Drosophila melanogaster: one gene and its partners. The protein of the gene in region 4 interacts with the protein of the main gene of each other region in a pairwise test. Each region holds a gene or a part of one and is shown on either strand. Other genes may lie near its edges.

Evidence for each region.
Region 1: the proteins of abd-A (region 4) and exd interact in a protein complementation assay, tested with the Drosophila melanogaster proteins (4 studies listed by BioGRID, with this or other methods).
Region 2: the proteins of abd-A (region 4) and Doc2 interact in a protein complementation assay, tested with the Drosophila melanogaster proteins (2 studies listed by BioGRID).
Region 3: the proteins of abd-A (region 4) and tsh interact in a protein complementation assay, tested with the Drosophila melanogaster proteins (3 studies listed by BioGRID).

Annotation. Positions count from the first base shown.
Region 1 is NC_004354.4:15,990,714-15,997,047, reverse strand, and holds exd (extradenticle), read right to left. Parts: upstream 4,349-6,334; 5' UTR 4,124-4,348; intron 4,113-4,123; exon of another isoform or gene 3,935-4,112; intron 3,577-3,934; 5' UTR 3,540-3,576; coding exon 3,275-3,539; intron 3,084-3,274; coding exon 2,765-3,083; intron 2,702-2,764; coding exon 2,443-2,701; intron 2,364-2,442; coding exon 2,076-2,363; 3' UTR 539-2,075; downstream 1-538. Other genes in the region: CG46312 (uncharacterized protein), read left to right, coding at 5,944-5,965. UniProt on the Drosophila melanogaster protein: Transcription factor which acts with the selector homeodomain proteins altering the regulation of downstream target genes such as wingless (wg), teashirt (tsh) and decapentaplegic (dpp), thus affecting segmental identity.
Region 2 is NT_037436.4:9,013,240-9,021,163, reverse strand, and holds the start of Doc2 (Dorsocross2), read left to right. Parts: upstream 1-1,917; 5' UTR 1,918-2,272; coding exon 2,273-2,363; intron 2,364-3,078; coding exon 3,079-3,235; intron 3,236-6,188; coding exon 6,189-6,456; intron 6,457-6,534; coding exon 6,535-6,672; intron 6,673-7,542; coding exon 7,543-7,924.
Region 3 is NT_033779.5:21,827,031-21,831,621, reverse strand, and holds the start of tsh (teashirt), read right to left. Parts: upstream 3,030-4,591; 5' UTR 1,817-3,029; coding exon 1,764-1,816; intron 1-1,763. UniProt on the Drosophila melanogaster protein: Homeotic protein that acts downstream of Arm in the Wg cascade during embryogenesis to determine segment identity throughout the entire trunk.
Region 4 is NT_033777.3:16,825,062-16,829,626, reverse strand, and holds the start of abd-A (abdominal A), read left to right. Parts: upstream 1-1,521; 5' UTR 1,522-1,623; coding exon 1,624-2,492; intron 2,493-3,319; coding exon 3,320-3,576; intron 3,577-4,565. UniProt on the Drosophila melanogaster protein: Sequence-specific transcription factor which is part of a developmental regulatory system that provides cells with specific positional identities on the anterior-posterior axis. Required for segmental identity of the second through eighth abdominal segments.

The DNA of each region.
Region 1 (6,334 bases), on a different chromosome or scaffold from region 4:
CCAACAGTGTGGCCGTATTGACAATTCAAAGTATTCCGGGCAGTGCCAGCATGCGCGTCAAGGTAGCGGCGATTGAGTGCTAGATAAGTGGAACGTGTTCTTAAATTGTGGAATGCATTGGGGCAGCGGGTGAATTTTTTTAAAATTTCTACTTTATTATTTATAAATTTAAAATTGGTCGATCAAAGTGATTTATATAAATTACTACACACTTTTGGGAATAACTGTAAGATGTGGGGTGAAGTACATTAAGCCGTAATGAACCATAATAAAAATAAAATACGCCTAAAATTAAAATTTTTTGTCTGTTTTACAGCTGCCAAAAATCTAAAAAATTAAAATTCTTCTGTTTTTATTGACCAACCCCACATAAAAGAATGATTTCTATCTGTGAGCCAGATAGTTTTAATTAAAGAAGAGCAAGTGTATCTACAGATGCTCCATCTCTTTCTATTACGTGTATAGATTATCTGCAAAGGATAACGCCCTTTTCTTTAATACTCCCAAAAAACCATTAATTAATACTTCGTTTTGATTTATTAAGTTATTTGTGTAAAGTTGTGTATTTATATATTTTTCTATTGTTATCCAAAATGTTTAATGCAGTACCTTACTTACTGAAATACATTGAATGGTTTCATTTGACCGTAATGTGAGCGAAAGTCTGTCAAAGACATATGTTATTTATCATTTAAAATTATAATCGTTTTGTATACTTTCAAATAATCTGTTTTCATATCCGTTTTAATTGGGGGCAAAGAGTAGTGTACACTTCTTACTAAGCGAAAGACGAATTTGTTCTTGATTTTATAATGCAATTAAGTTGGGAAGTTCGTTTTTATAGCAAGAAATCCATTAAGATTTAATGTTTAATACTTTTTAGGATGTAAGAAACAAACAATTGTTTTGAGACTTTTAAAATACACGTTAATAAATCTATTAAATGTTATAAGCTGTTAAATAATACAATTCGTCCTTCGATAGAAATGTGACATTTTGTTTATCCAAGACTTTTCTTTTCCGTTTTTACATTCAAAATATTTTTGTAATTAGTTGACGTGTGTGCGGATAACAACAACATGTATTATTTATTTATTTGATATACATCGTATACATGGTTTAGTTTCGTATTTTCGTATTGTTCAAGTTTTTAAAAATTTCGTACAGTTTTAAATTCAGTAAACACTATTTTGCTGTCGTATACGTACTGTAGCCAAAAAAGAATCGTCATAGTATGATTTACATGCAATATTTGTATATACCCGCAAATGTAGGTAAATGTATTAAAATATATTTATACACAGCTGCGGTCAAAATAATAGCTCTGAAACTTGTGCCTCCTCCACTCGTTGTGAAAATATTCGTATACTACCAGTTTAATCGAGTTTCTTTGCATATGTTTTCGATGGTTAATATATAAGCTAAATGGGGCTATGCAGAAAAAGTCACTGCATTGGTTATTAACCCTTTTTAAAGAACGTTGATCAAATTATAATCGCTTAAGCGAATTATTACGTATTTATGTATTTTACAGTTGACATGCCACAAACAACATGCTTTCCATTTCAATTGATTGTGAATTAAAAAAAAAAAGCGAGCAAACTTTTCGTTTTATGTTCGGGCAAAAAATATTCTTAATTAGGCCATTATTCAATTGTCGACTTCTTAATACATCCTGCATGCATATATTGTTAAAAAGCAGGAGACTGTGTCAATTAAAAAACCATATCAGCTTATTTACTTTCTTTTTTGATTTAAGCAGGCAAAGTTTTTTCTGCCAACCAAAATGTAGCAAGCACAAACTAACTATTACGTATTTATATTCTACTCACGTATTTATGTATATCTATCGGAACTATATCTAAATTGATGGGAATTTTAAACTTATCTGACTCGAAACCAAAGGACAGAAAGCTGAATTTAAAAATCCCTTAAGAATTGTTGTTCTTGGCGAAGAAGCAAATATAAGCCGCATAATTATGAAAAAACTGCATGTTAGATTTTTCAGCGCAGTTATTTTGACCGCAACTGTATGAGGGATTCTCCGGACTGGGAGTGGTTCACAGCCCTGATCCTCAGGGGCTTAGATCCTGATGGAGATTTGGGTCGTAGCCGCCCATGCTGTTGTCGTACGGTTGCTGCTGGTCGTATCCGCCGGAGCCCATTGGATAGCCCATGGAATCCTGTGGCGGAGCGGGTGACATCATGGGTGTGGTTGTCCCGCTGGGTGGACCGGCCATGGAATACGGTGAAGCACCAGCCGCCTTCTTGGCCGCATACAAATTGGCCTCCTCCTGTGCCTTACCAATGTTCTTCTTATAGCGAATACGCTTGTTGCCAAACCAATTCGATACTTGCGAGACCTGCATGAGTGTGTTTTGTTTTATTTACTATGCTGCAATCGGATTTGCATTGTTGATTAATGTGCCCTACACTACTTACCGTGATGCCACACTTTCGTGCCAACTCCTCTTTGGCCTCTTCGGATGGATATGGGTTGCTCAAGTGACTGTAGAAGTACTCGTTGAGAATCTCGGATGCCTGCTTGCTGAAATTGCGGCGTTTGCGGCGTGCGTCCAGGAAACGCGAACGAAGTATCATTACAGCCTCGCAGGTCGACTGCTTCAGCTGCATTTGTATGGAACTAAACTTTTTGTGGATGATCTGCACCATTCGCTCGATTTCCTTTGGTGTAATGGGTCTGAAATACGATTATATTACCCAAATGATGGCCATCATTTTGCATTTATCTATATACACCAACCTCGTGCGACTCTGTTCGCGTAGAAGATTCATGACATGCGTGGTGAACTCGTTGCATGCCTGCTCGTACTTCTCCAATTCCTGGTGATATATTTGACGGATCTGTGCCAGCTTGGCACGGTAGTCGGAATGCTCAATGGCATTGTCAGCACCATCGATGGACAGGGAACCGCCCTGGCTGGCCGCAGCCGCAGAGGCAGCCGCTGCTCCGCCACCGCCCTTCTCGGGTCCGGCCACGCCCTCGGCAATCAGCATGTTGTCCAAGCGCATCAGTTGCGGATCTGGGGGCTCCTCCTCCTGGGTGTTGCGAATCGAGAGGACTGTAATAGTTTTAACGAAGAAGACGAATGATAAAAATAATTTCATACTGAACGTTTTAAGACTATTACGTTAAGAATTGTGTTTGATTTAGTAAATCAATTGTATCACAAGCAAATCACAAAATCCATAATACCATTTCAACTTATTTGATGGTCTTGAATGAGAGATAAATATAGGGTTTTAAGCTTACCGGTCTTCTCCTTGATTTCGCAAAGTACAGAGAAAAGTGCCGGCTTCATTCGGTGACAGTTTAGTGTATGTTTTCTGGCCTGGGCCTCGTCAAGTGATTGCTCCGAGATACTCATTATCTGTTGCAATATCTCGCCGATGTCCTTCTGCTTGCGCACCTCGTTCTCGCTGCCGGCATTCTGGCCATCATCCTGGCCAGACAAGCCGTATCCTTGCGGAGCCATCATGCCGCCGGTGTGGGCCAACATGCGATTGGGGTCCTCCATGGTGCCGCAACACAAAGCAAGCTACAAATCCAAGTTTCTGTAATAATATTAAACATCAAATATTAAAATCATGCAAGAAAAAAGGAAATAACCCAATATTTTTTCTACCAATTCGATTTTTTAGTGTTTTATTATTTAATAAATATTTCTTTTTTATATAAAAACATAAGTTTGAAACCCTTAAAAATGTAGTAAAAACTTGAGTTAATGTATACTTAACAAACTGAAAACAAATACACCAATTAAATCTTTTGCTACAAAATTCATCATATCTATAGAAGAGATACCAACAAAGCCATTAAACCCACAAACCCCACCACAAAATAATCCCCCAGACATTTGAGCAAAAGTGAAAAGACATTTTGGTATCCTATTGGAAATGCAATAATCTCCACCTGTCGCAATCTCATGAAGCGGCATATCTTTTTGGGGGTGAAAAAGTATCTCAGATGCGTAGCACGAAGCTGGGCAGTTACCCGAACTATTTATGAACTTATTTCTATTTATTTATTGCTGTGTACCACAGGTAACGTTACATTTTACACATGTACAGATAAATGACGCCGAGTGCATCACATACATACACTTGTACGTATGTTTAGTGCCAGCAGAATGGTAAAAAAAAATCAACCTGCCAAGTTTATATTTACATACACACAAGGTTATGGTTAAGCATTAATTTGAATGCAGTTTGAAAACATTTTGTTGGTTTTACATGTACATTCTTGAGATTTTATTACGTCAGAAAAGATTTAAACTGTTTATAACAAGGTGTATGTACATATCCACACATCGATATATGTGCATGTAAGTATTGAGAAGCGTCCACTTGAAATTCCATACTCACGGTTTTTTATTTATCGTGATTGCCTCGTATACTTATTTGCCGTACAAGTCGTATTTTGTGTTATTTTCACTAAAAATTAGTGACACATTACTTGCAGTTGTAAATAACCGCAAGTATATAATATTATTATCTTTTTTGGACAACAATGAAACGAAAGTACGTTCTGTATACGCAGAAAAATAAATCGATATGAAAAAGTTTTCCAGTACTGTAAGAATATCGATAAGTATTCCATAAAATGCAATTTATATTTGCTAGTGAAAACGTGGACAATCGATATCTTACCCGTAGTTACATTCTAGTGCTTACTCACTGCGAGTTGGGTATCGATACTATTTAAAATGTGGCTCTTGAAATAATATTTTAAACATTTTTTCAATAAAATAAATAAGATATCCTCTACAAAAAATGTGGTATATTGGTATTGGAATATAGAAGAAATACAGATGATCCACTCTTATAACATATATTTTAAAAGGCTGATTGGAACTACGTTTAATTATATAACACATATATTTGTTTCTATTTTAGTCAACTTCATTTTTAAAAATGGTCTTTCGTTTTTAAGCGTATTATTACATATCTTCATTTTAATAAATACCATATAAATTATATAAAAGTGAAAGTGTGAAAAGGCTAAAATTCATTCACATCATATTCGGCCAATCGATAGTGATAGGCTGCAGCCCACTAAAGTCGTTATGGTCATATTGTGCTGTGACGTTTAGTCGTATGTTCGTGGACTTCGGAGAAAATCTTTTCTTAAACGGTTAATTCAGTAAAATTATTAATTTACTTTCATTGTGATCAGAAACGCTTTATAGAAAACTTGTGGAAAAGGTATTGAAAAGTGATTGTGACCAAAACGAACACAACCTCAAAAGTTTAAATGGCGTGGCTTTCATCCATATGTAAATGCATACGTGCATGAAAATGTACATTTATATATATCTATACTAAATAATTCAGTTTTCCACAATTTTTGTAACGTTGGGTCTAGTGTATATCTGCATAAAGCTACTTTACTTCGTGCTTACACAAAAATCACGCTTCAACAGTGTTTTTTATGGCCATTATACAAAAGTACTGAATACATAAGTAATAGGAAAAGATATATATGTAAAATATATATATACTTGAATGTTAAATTAACCTTTTTCCTTCGAAATTATAAGTAAATTTGAGCTAAACTAAAGTAATGTAAGAAATACTTAGTACGGAGTGGTATACATATGTTCGTTCATGCGCATTCCTAATTTTATTTTCTTTCCCTTTGCAGAATAGTTGAGAGACCAAAAATTTCAATTTTTGCGATACATAAGCGCGTTAAAAGCGTTACTAATATTTTTCAATATTAGCACGGAATCAGAGCTATCAAAAAAAAAAAAAGTTATCGATTTCCCGTGGCAGTGCGATTTGTTTGATTTTGATTTATCCATATATATTTTCCAAGTCAATTTGCGATTGACTTCACAAAGAATACCCGAGAGTACGATATCTTTGTCTAATTTGCGAACTGGCATTGCGCACCCCAAAGGAGGGGAAACAAAATCTTATATGACTTTTGAAAGATACGGTGGTAAGTAATAGTTAATCATCAACAACCCATTGAATCGATTTGTATCTAAGACACATATTTATCCCGACCACTGTATAATGTCTTACTACTAACCAAGATCCGGATCCATCCAAGGTTACTTTAACATTAAAAATAAGCTTAAAAATAAGCAGCCAACACATTTCCTTCTCCCACAACCGAAAAAAAAGCAAGGATACAATGGTTTCTGAAAAAGGAATTCCAGAAACTTCTATTGCGATACAAGTAAAAGGCAAAAAGAAGTTATCCAGCGAATTCAACTGCATTCTCTTATTTTATTTGTGTGGCTTATTATGCTTTATCTTCTGAATTATGGCATATGTTTATATAAGATATAAACCTATTAAGATT
Region 2 (7,924 bases), on a different chromosome or scaffold from region 4:
GAACTAACTGCAGGTATTTTAATTATTGCAAACACTACTTGCTCAACTAGCAGTTCTTCGAGTGCATCATTTGCTACCTGTTGGCCCATTTATCCGGAACCGAACGGAAGTAAACCGAAATGCATTAGTCAGACAGCAGGCACAGGGGCAGCACCAATTAGCTGGGTGCTGACAAATTGCACAGCTATTGGCATGGTCTGAAAGGGCAGACCCTTTAGAGGCTCTACAGGATCGATGTCTAATGGTTTGACGAACGTAGTCGAGCTGAAAGACGGCAGAACGGAAAACGCAACCGGAAATGAGCGCGACCAAATGTGAAAACGCGAGGCATAAATTATGGTCAGACGGCGCATACATTCATACGTGGCCAGAACGCAATTTGGGCGAAATGGCCTGCTAATAGTAAATTAATTTCAGACGCTTATCGCCGCCAACTGTGGCTATGGCCATATCCATAGGAAAATAATGCGTGGATGTGTCAGGCCAGCAAAGTGCTGTGTAAATTAGCTCGGCTAACTACATATTTACCCATCGAGAGCCTCAGGAATTTCGCAGTAATGCTGTTCAGATAAGCCAAGCGATTGTCTTAAACTTGAAAGGAAGTGGCACTGGAGGCAAACACGAGACTAGTCGTTGGCAAAAAAAAAAAAAAGAAAACAACACATTAAAAACCGAGCACGTTTCGCCATCGTCGGCCCACATGGCGTATGCTTAACTTCAGTCAAAGTTCAGACCACCTCATTGGGCCTTAATTAGTTTCGAATTTGTTAGCAAGCAGCTCCGACACGCGTTTCCGTCGTTTGAAACAAATGTTTTGCCAAGCTCTCTAAAAGGTCAGATCCACAAACAGTGATCACCTGCATCGCCGGCAATATCTGTAGACTAGACTATAGCCTATAGATATTCGTGTACCAGCAAGTGGAGACGCCATATCGGGCCTTTGGATGCCGCCATATCAATGCCTGAATGACGCAGCGTCAAAGTCGAAATAACATATAATTACACAGAGAAAACTGCATTAAAGTGTTATTCGTTTAATTAAAAAGTAAAGATTATTGTATAATGGGCCCCAATATATTAATTAATTAAACTATTTACCAATTCTTCTCTACTGATAAACTCTAAAATGTGTATAAAAAAAAACTATTGCAACGATGACCAAGCAATTTCATCCAACATCAATCCGCCAACAGGTAAACAAGGTACTTTAAAGTAAGTGATTGGAACTTTTACTGATACTTAGATCAATATCTTATACAATACGCTGCCAAACACACCAAGAGTAAATATTTTTCAATAAAAAACCATCAAATTGCTGTTCAAACAGCATCAATAAATTCTTTTCTCTGTAGTGCGCCGGGTAAAATGTAATAAATGATCAGCAAAACGACAAACACACACGGCTTGGAGAGGCCAGACAAGAGGACCACCATGATGGTGATGGTGATGGCAGCGGCTACAAATGGGCAAAGCATAAATACACAAAAAGATGCCAAAAAGCGGAGACGGAGAAAAAACAATTTCAATCATCATGATCATAATTAAAAGGCAGCCAGCCAGCGCACACACACATAGCGAATGGACCCAGAAGCAACATGTTGCTGCTCCTCCGCTGACTGTGCAACTTCGCACTTCAGAATTAAACGCAATTAGAGCGAGCTGGCACAATGTGAAGAGAGAGAGAGAGAGAGAGTGATAGTCAGCGCTTCGTGGGCGGAGCCATGGCATCTGGAAAATCGAGAGGATTTTTCAAAATGGAGGTGCCAAACCAGAGCGGGACGGCTAGCTCCCGCACTCCGTACACTGCCACAGCCAATCGATGGTGAGCAGCAGGTAATCTCGATCAATGGCTCAAGACGGAAACGAGTCAAGCTCGTTCCATTCAGCTCGATCGAGAGATCGCTCTGCCAGCGGAACTTGCTCAGTTGAAATGCGAACTTGGCGAGCTCAAGACACGACCGTCGCCCAAAGATACAAAAAATTCTCTCAATATATTTGTGGTAAAATAATAACCCACGTACGCGACACCGGGCCTAATCAAATTAACACCCACGCACATGAGAGACTTTTGTGTGCCGTGATTTGCATAATTGACGCTAATCGGCGGCGTCTCGTGCTCGGCTAAAAAGTAAACCCGGGCTCCAAAAAAATAGACACCGCCATATGTTGTGACAGTGCTTTTTGTGTGCTGGGGAACAATTGTGCAAGTGACAAACGCCAAACAAAGAAGTTTCGGGCAAAGATTTAGTACTATTTTTGGACCCAACACATCATGATCACCATGAACGAGCTGGTGGATCTGCGCATGCAGCAGCACATAGCACACGAGATCTATCGCCAGCAGATCATGCAGCGCATACCAGGTAAACTGCTTGCCCCCTTCATATCACTCATCCGCCCCGTTACGCGTGCGGCAAAGCTGTTAGCCATCATTAGCATTAATGGTCGTAACTTTTGGCAAACTGCTTTTGTTTCTGTTACTGTCTCAGCCCACCAAAGTTGGCCAAGATCAGCGGGGTGTGTGCGAGTAGCGGTGTTTATGGCCAGCGGATCATAAAGCTGAGTAATGTGGGAAAGTGATCGCCGATCGAGAAACTTGATATCAAATGCATTTTTCTTGTTGCCGACGGTCGTTAAATTTCGGGATCAGCGTACCCCTAAAACAAAATCGTTGTTTGCCAAAGTATCGCTCCTTATTTTGTGGATACCAGATGGAGGGCATTAAGTTTGGTAATCGGGAAAGAATCGGTGTTCCTCGTTCGCCAAATAAGCGTTTTTATATAACCCCATGTTTGTTCGTTTGTTTTTATGACAAATATGTCAGTCATCATATGGATTTATGCCGTAAGATCTCTTTGGATAAGTCAGAAATGTCACACTTTAATTCAGACCCACGCTCTTAAACTAATGGCGACTATTAAGTTATTTGAATGGGTTTCATTTTAGCCAAATACCATGTTAATATGTTTACATAATTTCAATAATTCTTAATTTTCTTTGTTGAAGACTAAGTAGTTTGTTAGATTGCTTGAGCTTTTGTTAACCTATAAGCCCCCTATTGATTATTGTTCTTTTCAGATCCGTTTCCGCCGATGCTGCCAATTCCGATGCCACGGCACGTGATCATGCCACCTCGAGTCACGTTGCCCGGCGTGGAGATGACCCTGCAGAACGACGATCTATGGAAGCAGTTCCATCAAATTGGCACGGAAATGATCATCACCAAGAGTGGCAGGTAGGTTTAGAACAGAGAGAAAAGATCTTTGATGATGAAAATGATGAAAAACCAAGAGTGGGGGAATCTCGAGATATACAGACTTTAGAGATCGGGAACAAACATAGATGTAGCGATGCATTAGCACGAACATGAAAACTAATACCCCAGACGCAGGGCAAAGAATAATAAACCAGCCAACGGGCGCGGGCACTTAAAGCACCCTATAACGATCCCTAGCCCGATCCCTGGCCCGATCCCGATTCCGATCCGATTCAGTAGAGTCCAGCGAGGATGTGCTGCTGTTAAAGGCTCATTAGATGCAGGCGCCTGCAAATTGTTTACAGCGGCGTCGCGACAACGATTTTCACAGGCAAACAAGGCGGAAGGATGCACTTACGTCGGCAGGATGTGAAAATCGAAAATTGAAAATTGAAAATCGGGAAATGGAAAAGCGGTTGCAGGTTCAGCCAAAATTGATGCGCACTGGACATCGGCTATCGCACGAGGCGTAAAGCGAACAAGTTCGCCGGCACTTTGCGTGCTCAGATCGTAGATAGTACGAATCAAAGGCATAGCGCGATCGCCCGGAGCTAATTTATCGTGTATCTATGAGTATCAGATCAGATGCACGACTACTTGCACAAAGGCGACTACCTAAAAGTGTCCGGCACTTGTTCGAATGTGCGTAAAGTGGCGTCATCGTAATTTATTGTAGACCGACCAACTGGACCGATCGGGCGAGCGCCGAGCTCAGTGGGACGTCCTGTCGGTTCGTCGGCGCTCCTTTATGCCTCGCCTGGCATAAATCTTCGCGTCAAGGATACTTTGTCGTCATCTTTGTAGCTCTTAGCGTTTTTATTGTGGCGCCTGTCTGCGCAGCGAACAACCTGCGGCCCCGAAATATCTTCGCGTTCTGCATTCTATAAGATGCTCGTACATATCTGTATCTTTTGGCAGTGACAGTGACCACAGCTTGTCGACAGATACGAGCAATTTCACACTTGCCCTCAGTTCGAGCCGATCAAAAAGGGTTCCCAAACGCATTAACATAAACTTTTGGTCTCGAAATGCATTGAATGAATACACTTCGAGCCACGAACAACCCTTTTGTTTTATATATGCCATGAATTATTCATATAGTCTGCGTATTAAATACTTTTTATGCTCATCAAAAATGTTTTATGGGCATCGGTGGAGAGGTCGCGATGCAATCGATTTGAATTTTTAATGATTAGGCGCCAGAGTGCCACCGTCTGTCCAATCGCATCCCAATCCCCGTTTCATTTCCCATACGGATACGATCCCAAGTCCAAAACCTATGCCTATGCCAAGTGGCGCTCATAAAAACTAATTAGTTGCTTGTCTGGGCTCCGCTTGCCACTTGAACCGTTCCATCTTTTTGGGTGGTAAAAGCGCAGACGGCCATTAAAGTTAGATAGAACAAACCGTATCGCTTAATGTCTGATACTGGCGGCAAATGAAATGACTTTGTCACGATGCTTTTAGACTGTGTGGGCTCCTCCACTCACCAAGAGAGGCGGTAAACAGAAGCGACACGGTAACTTCGATGAGAAGCGCAAATATACCCAGAATTTTCAATTGGATTCAAACTTTTAGTTGCAGAAAGAAAAAAAGAAAATATTTTACCCTTTCTCTAATAAGAAATGTTATTCCTAGTAGACTCATTCAAAACTGGCTTACGATCTGAAGAGTTCAAAATTTATGTCGTTTGCTTCCAGTTTTATAGCTGTCAATTAATAAATAGTCTCACTCTTAATTTCCTAAATATGCTAATTCTGGGAATATCAAGCAGCTATTTATATGGAATTGTAGGGTAAACATTGGAGTGAGCTCTGGATATTTCCAGAGTACCCTTCGGGAGTCCGAGATCCGATGCTCCGTCGCATTCCTGGCTTGTGTCCCTGCACCTGCGAAGCGTCAAGCGCCAAGTCGAATGCCGTCAAGTGGTCAGCATGCTCCTTACTCGCAGTAGAAAATTCCACTGGTAATTATGCGCAGACGCGCCAAAGATATCGATCTTAACAAATCGTTTGTCCAAATCCAGACAGCGGACTCTTGCCAAAAAAATAAAGAAAAAAAAAAACAATAAACAAAAACTGAGAGCAAGCAAATTGAAAATGAAATTCTAAACCGCACAAATGTCGAAATATTTCGGTGCCGTGCTCTAATGGAATTCAACGGAGCTGAAAAGGCAGACCCGAAGCCAGAATCAAATTAAATGTTAGCAAACCGAGGCTCTGTGGATTTCAATTAATTAATCATCGGTTGAGGGAAACACGAAATCATTGCCAAAAACAAGAAACCATTCGAGGATGAGGACGCTGTTGAGGATGAGGACGAAGGGCAAACATTTTTCGGCCAGGCGCCAAGTGCCGTGACCACCTGCTGTTCCTGCGGCAGCGACTTGGAGTTGAAGGCGAGGGTCAGGGCCTCGCATCCTTGTTAGCACAGGGAAAACGGCCCCTACTCCACCGGGCAATCTCTATTTGACCAGTCCTAATTACATGGCGCATGGAAGGGAAATCTCACAATTAAATATTTGTAACGCCCACGCTGGAACCGGGAATGGGCTCCTTTTGTCGTTCTAGCATGACTATATTTGAGTTTGTTCGGTAAACAAAGGCTCTAAGGTTTTCCAGGCGTTTTCCTGGACTTCCCCCGCTCATCTGACACAGAGGAAAATGTTGTAGGAAAGCAGTATACCAACGATTTGGTAATATTTATAAGGGAAATATCTGTAAGATAACTCTCATGTCTAATATGGTATATACAAAAGGTTATGCTAGGTTTTATAACAACTTTGAAATTAGCCATTTATCAAATAGTAAAATATACCATATAATTATGATATTAAAGTCTTATTTGTATTAATAATATAATGAAAAATGATTTTGTCTTATATAATAAGAGACTGATTAAACTAATAAGATGCTTTTCCTTTCCCCTAAAGACGCATGTTCCCCTCGATGCGACTAAGTGTTTCCGGCTTGGAGGACGAGAGCAACTATTGCGTGCTCCTCGAGATGGTACCCATTGGCGACTGCCGCTACAAGTTCTCCGGCTCCCAGTGGGTTCCAGCCGGAGGAGCCGAGCCGCAAAGTCCCCAGCGGATGTACCTGCATCCGGACAGTCCGGCCACCGGTGCCCATTGGCAGGCGCAGCCCATACTGTTCAATAAGGTCAAGTTGACCAATAACACGCTGGATAACAGCGGCCATGTAAGTGCGGCCAGGGCTTTGAAGTCGTCTCCAGTTACTAATCCAAGTCCAAACCCCTTTCGCCATCCCCATTCGCAGATTGTCCTGGCCAGCATGCACAAGTATCAGCCGCGTCTGCACGTCATACGCACCGCTGATCTGGCGCAGATTCCCTGGGCCCCACAACAGGCCTTTGTGTTCGCCGAGACGGAGTTCGTGGCCGTGACAGCCTACCAGGTAAGTGGTGTGCCATCCCCATCCCTACTCCGTTTACCCTCTCAATGGGCGCCATCATTTTGGTAATGAGTCTAGCTCAATGTCTAATTAGTACTCTCAAATAAAATATATATCTTTGCCACACGATGAGAATCCCTTCTAGTTCAAAATCACCTCATGGTATCCTATCTTTGATTAATTCACATGTTATTCACAGACTTATCCAAGGTTGTCTAAAATCGCACTATTAGGTATTTAACAAAAATGTTTCGTCCAAGAGTATTCGAGTCATGTGTCCTCGAAGTTAGCCTTCCTACTTGTGTGTGCATTTTTTTTTTTGCCAATTCATTGAGCAAAGAGACTGGAAACGATCACACTAATTGGTTAATTTTGGGCAAACGAGCGGCGATCGCTCACGCCGTGGGTAGCTTGGTCAACGTCTCGAATTAGCATGGAACGCCTCCGTGGATCGTGTAGTTGGTGGGCAGGGCAGGCAGAAAGTCAGCGGGTCGGATTGTTGTTTTAGGAAGTTGGATAGCCACATCCTTGTAAATTTGAGCGCCTCGCTGTGTTTTTGTCTAGGTCTAGGCCCATTGACAGCCGACGCCAGTCTGCCTCTAATTAGCAAGATCGCCGAGAGATCGGAGATTCGGTTTGAGAAAGATCCGAAAGATCACAATGTTGTCAAGTCATCTGGAGTGGAACTGAGCACCGAGAACTGGAAACGCAGTCTGGTGTCAAGTGGCCATGTTACTTAACGCCAGCTACTGGACGCCAGTGACTTATGTGATGAGTCTTCTTCTCCTTCTCCATCTCCATCTCCCCGTTGCCCAAGATTATGCTGGCGGCAATCGTCATATTTCACGCTCGTCTTGTTGCCTTCTTCCGCAGAACGATCGCATCACCAAGCTGAAGATCGACAACAATCCGTTTGCCAAGGGCTTCCGCGAAACGGGACAATCGCGCTGCAAACGCAAGATGTCTTCATCGCCAACGGGCGAGGATCAAGATCAGTCGCCGTCACTATCCCATTCTCAGTCCCAATCCGAGTCTGACATGTCGCCAACGAAAGGAGGCGGTGAGACAGCCGGAGGAACATCGTCGATCGGCGATTCGGATGGTCCGCAAATCAAGCGCCTGAGATCAAATGGCTCAGCCTGCTCCTTATCATCATCGCTGGACGATCAGTCGGTGCCTGGCGCCAGTTCTTTGGCCCTGGGCTCTCCACCGCCCCATCTACATTCGCATTCGCATCCGCATCCCCTCCAGGCGA
Region 3 (4,591 bases), on a different chromosome or scaffold from region 4:
CGCGCAATCACTCACCGCTAATTAGCTATCCAGATTGCAAGGGGCGATTGAGCCCGCAAACAACCCATTTAGCGGCTCGTTTCTCCATTATTTTGCTTGACTAGTATAAAATACTTGGCAACGAGTTTTCTCCGCCAGCATATCATAATCTGAAATCTCGTTATTCGATTAGGCTTAAATCAAAATGATTTATACGCAACTCCAGCAAGTGCAGTTAATTACAAGTTGAAATGTCTCATTAATAATCGAGAGAGTTGCATATTGATATGCACCCGTAACGCTCAGGCTAACTAAAATAGTGGGAGTACACCCATTGGTGTGATATGGGAGAGTTGGTTGGACCTCAGGTGAGAATATAAATAAATATGAGTTGACCGATCTGAATTTTTTTATAGTAGAATTATTGTTTAAAATGTTTATTCCCTAGTATATTTTTACTATATACTGCGAAATGAAGGTTATTAATAACAGTATATCTATTTGTGCCGAATACAACACACTGTCCCTGTTAAAGCAAATCTAAGGCACGACAAATCCGTTAAGGTAGCAGAGTAAATATTACTAAACATACACATGCACCCGGAGATACAGCCACACGCACACGCACACGCCAGCGGCAAATTGTGAACATAAATCTCTCCGGTAATAGGCGCACACGGGGAAATTGGAGGGGGTGGAGAATGGAAAAGATGGCAAGCAGAGCGTAGCGTATTTTGAGTTTTTCACTTTTTCGCATGATTTATTCAATTCGACTACGTCATCGCCTTGGAAAATCTTGAAAATTCGTGTGTATCTGCATGCAAATCAAACGAGAGCGAGACAATTTGTCGCACTTTATTATTAATACTCCAGATGCACCCCCGAATACCCTCGCCCCCGCAAATATAGTGTCATAAAACCCGTTTTTAGCCTTCAGTTAATTTGCTCAGACTCAGGCTCACTCGAGTGACTGTTCGAGAGCGAGTTCGAAAAATATCTTGAACTTGTTTAATCATAATTTCAGAGAAACCCAGATACAGATACACAAACGCTTACCCCAAGTTAGTATCCCATCATCGAACTATGGCGATTTTTCTGTTATTTTCGGATTTCCCCTGCCAGCCACCCTTTTCAAATCAAGTTCTGCTTTTCCCGATCCGAGGGTCTGGACTCGTAGTCGTGAACTCAGTACTCTTGGTTCTGCGGGTGGGTGTTGTGATATATGGGCGCGCTATTGGCGAGGCGCTGAATTTATAACGACAGGTGTGCGACTACGCCGAACCGCCAATGCCAATCATCAAATGCCATGAAATCATAGTTTCTTGATATATTTATTTGGCCGATTTGTGGTTGAGAGTCTGCAATACTATTTCAACAAGTTCGGCTATCAGTTCACAATGACAATGGTTTTTGATTTTGATTGAAAACGTTCTATATTCAATATATGTCGTATATACTTGGTATATATAATATTCTATTTAACCAGATACTTGAACGCACATAAAAAGCAATTGCAAAAAAATAATATTAACTGAATGAGATGAATGTAATTATTTTATATGTGAATATTTTGAGTATGGCCACTTTTAGTTAAGAATTCAATATTTCACTATTTCATAATGAAAAACACTTTGATGCACTTTGGTAGTAAAATCTCAGTTCGTTTATCCTTCATACCCAGAGTAGTCACATTTTTGAATCCCCCGAATAAGGCCATGTGAATCTTTTTCTTAATTCTACATCTTTCACTGTTCTATGGAAATAATCTTCCATATAACACTTACCCGGCATTTAGCGCCTGTCTGTAGATCTCGAGCATCAGAGCCTCGTGTAACATTTTTAAATTTTGCTGAATTTTGACGGTTTGCTGGAACTTGGATGGTTTGCTCTTTTTGGAGCAAACAACGAGGATTTTAGTTGGATTTTGGAACTTAACTTTAGTTTGACACAATGATCATATAATCTATTGTTTTGCACTTGGTACGTTGTAGTATAACTTGTTGTTGTTGCAGCGTATAACTGATTAATTTATATTTTTTGGATTTTGTAATTTATAAACTTTCGTATGTCAGACAAAAAATGACGTTTCGAGGCGTTTGTATTTTTAATTCCTAATTTGTGTTGATTTAAATTTAATTTATTAATTGCATTGAATCGTATACTTCGTTAAGGTTTGTTGATTTAAGTAACTGGCTTTACATTATGTATGTAGTGTAATTTTGGTGAATTAAATACCGTTTAATGTAAATATTTGCAATAGTTTATCTTTAGTTTTGGTAATAAATATATTTTTGTGGTATATTTTGTTTAGCTTGTGGTAGTTTTACGTATACTTTGTTGAACCATTTGTAGTTGTATGTTTCTCGTATGTTTCAGTCTTGATCGAGCATTTGCGTTCGAGAGTATCAAACCTCTGCTTCTTTGACTAGATATGATGGCGGCCTGGAAAACACTCGTTCTATCCTCCCCCAAAAACGCGTTTTAAACTGAGAATTCACTGTTCTGGCGGAACCGCGGGTCGCGATGCGTGCGTCTTCTCATCCGGATTCGTCGTCACTACTCGAACGAAAGTCCAAAGGCGATTGAATCCCGCTGGCCGGGTTCCTTCGTCACTAGCCTCTGCTGCGGTGCTCTGCCGGTGCGCTGCTGCTGCGCTGCCGTCGCTGTCAAGCTGACAAACAACAACAACGGGGCGCTGCTGCTCTGCCTTCACTGATTGATACGGATGAAAAAATGAAGCGACGCGACGGACGCGCAGCGATTGGAAGCTGCGCTGCTGTTGACGAGCAAACACGAAGCCCGCGTTTTGGCGACGGCAATTTCTGATTCGATTTTGCGTTCTGGCGACGGCTGCGCACTTGTGTGTGTGTTGTGTGTGCCGTGTGTGCCACCCACACCCTTGCAGGACAAGCTGGCTGTCAGCGTGATTAAATGTGCTACTCTCTCGCTCGCACTCGCCGGCACTCGGCTAACTAATTACCGTACGATTTTTCCAAGTGCGCCGAGCTTTTTCGCACGATCGTACGCAGTAACGGTTTCTTGTCGACTGACTGACTCTTGGCGAAAAGAACCCGAAACCGATGGGTAGCCAAAAGAGAGCGCGAGAGAGAAGAGAGAGAGAGAGCGACAAGAGCGCAGACTTTCCCCTGTGCTGGCAAGTGAACGCTTGGAACTGAAACAGGGGAAATCGCTAGGGAAAGAGATAGCGTTGTGGGACCGCTCCGTCTCGCTTGCTCCGAAAGTGTGTGAAATCTGTTTTGTCGTTTCGTCACCCTTCTTTTGTCCTATTCCGAATCCGATTCCATCACAATTAAGATTTATGACAGTTTAACAAAAATGCTCTCACTCGCATGCGCCGTCCTGCTCGCAGCCACTCAAACTGTGTCGGTCCCTGCTCTGTTTTTATTTCTTTTCAAAATAAACAGTAGTTGTTGCTCTCTGAGCTTTTCGCCCTCGTCACTTTTAGCCTCTTCCCTCTCGCTCACCTTCCTTCATACCCTCTGCTGTCAACTTTTGTTCGCCTTTCTGCAGCTTCTTCGTGGATCTCGCTTCTTTTGTTTCGTTGCATTGCTGTGCGAGCGAGTAGGAGAGTGAAAAAGTGGAAAAGTGGTTTGGGGCAATTTTCACTTGAAATCAACCCATTCCACTTTTCTTTTTGGCTGCGAAAACAATTGAATTAGCGACACTCCGGCCGTTCTTTCCTCTGAAAATGTGCCAAAATGCCGCGATTTTATTAGTTTTCATGGCAAGGTGTCAATGTTTGTGAATGCGTGAATGTAAGGCTGTGTAAGAACATTGATGTACATATGAAAGTATAAAGCCGAATGAAGTACAAATTTGGTTTAATAAGTGCCTTTATACAGTCTAAAAGATGACAGCATTGAATACTATTTAAATACTAGTATCATTAATACTCAAGATCACGTCTAATAAGTGCATCTACAATATTTTTCTTTGTGCCGACCCTGGTTACCTTAAGTTTATATATTGCATGTACTTTTTCACATAAATTGACAAACGTATAAAATAGTAACTTTCGATACATTATAATACATTACATTATAAAACATTATATACATTATTCTATAAAATTATCAACCGGTAACCGAGCATTGCCTTGATTCCTATGCATATTTACGGAGACGACTACTGAATCAAAATTTAGTTGCGAGGAGTCCACGAAAGGTGCCCCTACTTAGCCCAAGGCATTTTAAGCCAAGGTTAAACTTCGCTAAAACCCACCTAAACTGGCCAGTCTCCAAATGGCGTAATATCCCCTGGACTGATGTGTTAAAAATAGTGCTATTTGGTGGAACTGGTTCATATGGTTATATCTGACGACCTCCAAACACCGAGTACCACCCAAAACACCCACTGAAGACTTTCAATCACGGTGGACCTGCAATACTGGTATGGGCTTGTTTATTTTTTACAATGGTATGAGTCCATAACATATGATTTATGGTATTATAGACCAAAACGCATGTGTAAATATACTAAGGGATGTCTTACTGTCATATTCTTATTATAATATGCCCTTAAAATGGAAATTCCAACAGAATAATGATCCGAATGGCAGAAGCAAATCGGTTAAGAAAAGGTTCACCCAAAA
Region 4 (4,565 bases):
CAATACGATTCAGTTTCCGATTCGCCGTGTTTATTGTTCCGTTTCGGCCGCCGGCTTATTGTCACTTAAATGTTATAGATCGCGTAAAATATAATAAAATTGTGTGTGAAATTTAAAACCGAAAAAACTGTCAAAACACTATGGTTTATAACTCACTGTGTGCGGTTCGTAAAAATTAAAAAGACATAAAGTTGACATCGTAAAAAGGTTCTCGCCTCTCCGTTCCAGACTTCGATAGTTCTACCTGCAAAGTGTTTTATGACATTTTAAACAAAGTAATTAAAGCAAAACGTTGGGAGAAAGCATTTCTCCGGCCACACACACACTCACGCACTTGAGAAGTCGTTAAAAGCCGCAGGAAACTCACTCTGCCATAAAAATACAAGAGTGCCATTAAAAAAGATCGCGCGCCTATAAATCACACGTACGAAATCCCGCCGGCACGACGTCCATTCGAATTTCCGCGTAATTGATGACCGCATTTTAATTGCTTTTACAACAAATAAAAGATACACACACCCCAAACACACACATGCGACACACACACTTGTGCCACAGCTGCAAATACAACGCAACCCGAGACCATATGCAAATTTAACAAATTTCGTTGTGAATTCGCCAGCTTCGAGCGAAAAAAGTAACAGAAACAGAAAAGCTGCAAATACAAGCTGCTCGCCAAAAGTTCGCTAGAGAAAACTTGAGAAAGGTAACAAAATGCATTTCACTTCTCGGAATCGAGAAAAGTAGCTTAAAGTCGGGCAGCTGGCAAAGTTTCCGAATTCTGTCTCACTAACTCTATCTAAAAAGTACTAACTGTTGGCCATCTCATATAGTACTGTAAAAGTAACCCACATACTAACTCGTTGGCACTGGCAGGGAAATCTAGCTGAAAAATATATAAAGCATTTGGATTATATATTTTTTTCACTTGAGTTCTGTATCATGCTACCCGAAAGATTTATGTTCAATCCAAACATATTCAATTTGGTTAATGTTCTTTTTATGGTTTCCGAGTAATTTTTATAAACATGTTATATTTTTTGTTTTGCCATTTTTAATTCTTGTTTATCACATTGGACGCCAAGTTTATTTTTGTTTTTAGTACCTTTTAATTCGATTAATTTTGTTAGTGATTTATATACTAAGTCCAATGTAGTTTGCATTCGATTATGAAGTAGAAAAGTTAAATACAGAGACGGGAGATGTTCATTAAAGACAAGTAAATTTTAATAGACATTGATACAAATTAAATTGCTGTGTAAATCTTATGAAAAAGTTAAAGAAAAAGATATTTTTAAAATGCTATTTCTCACAGTGTTGAATTATAAAGTCATTCAAGTTTAAGATTTAGGTTGTGCTTACAGAAGTAGTCGGAACTTTTGTTTTATTATGGCTAGAAAGCGCTCCTCTCCACGCTGAATTCAAACAAAATTTGTTAAAGTCACACAAAGAGGAAACTTTAAATTATAAAACGAAATACTCAATCTAGCCATTAACCAAACGACTCAGATAAAGAACCCAAATCATTCGAACTCAGAAATCTCCGAAACTAAAATAGAACAACAAGTGGACTAAACGAAATTCCGAAGATCCGATCCTCGGCCAGAGAGCAAAATATGTGCAATGTCAAAATTTGTTTTCGATAGTATGCTGCCAAAGTATCCACAGTTCCAGCCGTTTATCAGTTCGCACCACTTAACCACCACCCCCCCGAATTCGTCATCTGCAGCAGTTGCCGCCGCCCTAGCCGCCGCCGCCGCCTCTGCATCCGCCAGCGTTTCAGCCAGCAGCAGCAGCAACAACAACAGCAGCAACACGATCGCTGGAAGCAACACAAGCAACACCAACAATAGCAGCAGCAGTCCAAGCAGCAGCAGCAACAACAACAGTAATCTCAATTTGAGCGGAGGATCCCTATCGCCGAGCCATTTGAGCCAACATCTGGGCCAATCGCCCCACTCACCCGTCTCCTCATCGTCGCCCTTCCAGCAGCACCACCCACAGGTGCAGCAGCAACACCTGAACCACCAGCAGCAGCAACATCTGCACCACCAGCAGCAGCAACACCACCACCAATACTCCTCGCTCTCGGCCGCTCTTCAGCTACAGCAGCAACAACACCACATTAGCAAACTAGCCGCCGCCGCAGTTGCCTCGCACGGACACGCCCACCAGCAACTGTTGCTAACGCCCCCGTCAGCGGGCAATTCTCAAGCGGGCGACAGCAGCTGCTCCCCATCGCCCTCGGCATCCGGTAGCTCCTCGCTACACCGCAGCCTCAACGACAACTCTCCCGGGTCCGCATCCGCGTCCGCCTCCGCATCCGCGGCCAGTTCCGTCGCTGCTGCTGCAGCCGCCGCCGCCGCTGCGGCTAGCTCCTCGTTTGCCATCCCCACCAGCAAGATGTATCCGTACGTGTCTAACCACCCTAGCAGCCATGGAGGGCTCTCCGGAATGGCCGGCTTCACCGGACTGGAGGATAAGTCGTGCAGGTAAGATAGATTGCCCTGTTTAAGTATGGGATAATGCAGATTTTTATAAATCGGGATGGGTTTTATGTCCAATCGTAGTAAAATGATCTTAAATGACCCTAATAGGAAGTGCAAATATAAAGTCAATGACAAATGATCTATACTATCTAATATGATATTCAAATATTTGGAGTGCATTGATAGAACTTCTCAGACAGTATCATATTTTAAAATATATGCAAATTTAGTATGACCATTAGCTTTACCTGGCTTCAAAACCTTTAAGAAGATGTTTCCGGGGTTGAAAATACAAAAAAAAAGAAACACTCAGCTCTTCCAAGAACTAATTTCGCGTGCTCTCAATTTGGCGAGCGGAAATGCCAGTCGAGACCTTCAGTAAAATCTGCAAACACTGCAAAACCGCAAATCCGTTTCGAATGCGCTCTAATTATCGGGTCTCGGATCCTGGGACTCTGTCCATTTTCCTCTCGGCCACCGGCCATTCATATTGAATGGCCATAAAGTCGGAAAATTAGAGCAGCCTGTGGTGGCCGCTGGCAATTTGTCGCCGGCCACAAGATTCGCACGCACGCTGACCTTCCGCTGCGGCCATTTGCATATTAGTACTACTGTATGGGCACTCCATGTGCATGTACAGTGAACCCTGCTGTGCGTGGGCGTGTTCGGGATTAGTGTGCAATTAGAGCTAACCGCAGTTTGGTGAAAGGGGCATGCAAATGGCCACCTCATTAGCATTTGACTTTAGTACGGGCGCTGGAGTTGGGAACGTACTATGAGAGCAGGGATCACCAACAATAATGGCTACTTTCTCTCTCCCACACCCACAGCAGGTACACGGACACTGTCATGAACAGCTACCAGTCGATGAGCGTACCTGCCTCGGCATCTGCACAGTTCGCTCAGTTCTATCAACATGCCACAGCCGCCGCATCCGCGGTATCCGCGGCCAGTGCCGGCGCGATCGGCGTGGACTCGCTGGGAAATGCCTGCACACAGCCCGCCTCCGGCGTGATGCCAGGGGCAGGGGGAGCGGGCGGAGCCGGTATCGCCGATCTGCCCAGGTATCCCTGGATGACGCTTACAGGTGAGTCAAAACTCGATACTCGATAGTGCGGAGATATATTATACATAAGTAAAAAAATAACTGCCAGATTCGGACTCTTTGTGAAAGACTTCGGATCTGAATGTGAGTGCCAAATTTGATAAATCTTGAAAGTTATCCGATTTTTAGAATTGAGAATCACACATATCCCAATACAAGTTTATCACACTGAGCCAATCAATCAGTCTTTTAAATTAAGAGTCTGTCTATCGTATCTACTGTGTTCTATATATCATGCCAATCATTATAAAATCAGAAATAATCCGTGCACTTCAGGGAATGTATATCGTCTTAAATCAAGAATAAATTGCCTTCAAGATCTACAAAGCGATCTCTTAAAATTTTTTGTGTACATATAAATCATGGCCACTTACACTGAAATCAAAAAATCAAATAAAAAATTGTAAGAACTTATATTGGATTGAATTATTTAGTCGCTATGTTAGGTTAAATACTATAATTAAAAAATTTAAACAGCTAAGTTGTTTAACAACCCGTAGACTTAAACCAGGTTCGAACTGATTTACAAATTGTATGACCTAACAAAAAGCGTCCAGTCGAATTATCGAATTAAATTTCCCAAGTGTAGTATTTGGAATGGTTGCTGCGTACCTTTTATAAACAATAGATAAACGTGGCGCAAACGTTCCCCAATAGCATTCCCATTTGCACCGCCATTTCGCCTACAATTCCAATTCGTAATGAACACTTTGCGGAGCACTTCCAAGTCGTTTATTTCGCATAAGTCTTCCAGGCGATTCGAATCCGTAAACGAAATGAACGAAGAGCTAAAAAGTTGGCAGTAAATAAAAATGAAAATAGTTTGAGAAATGCTTCTCTTGTCTGTCGTGTTATTTGGCGTCGATTTGTAATTTAAATAGCCTCAAGGTTGCCCCACACCGACAAACGTATAGCCCAAAATGCCGACCAAAAAACACTGCGATGTGCCCCGCGCATACAAAATCCACATA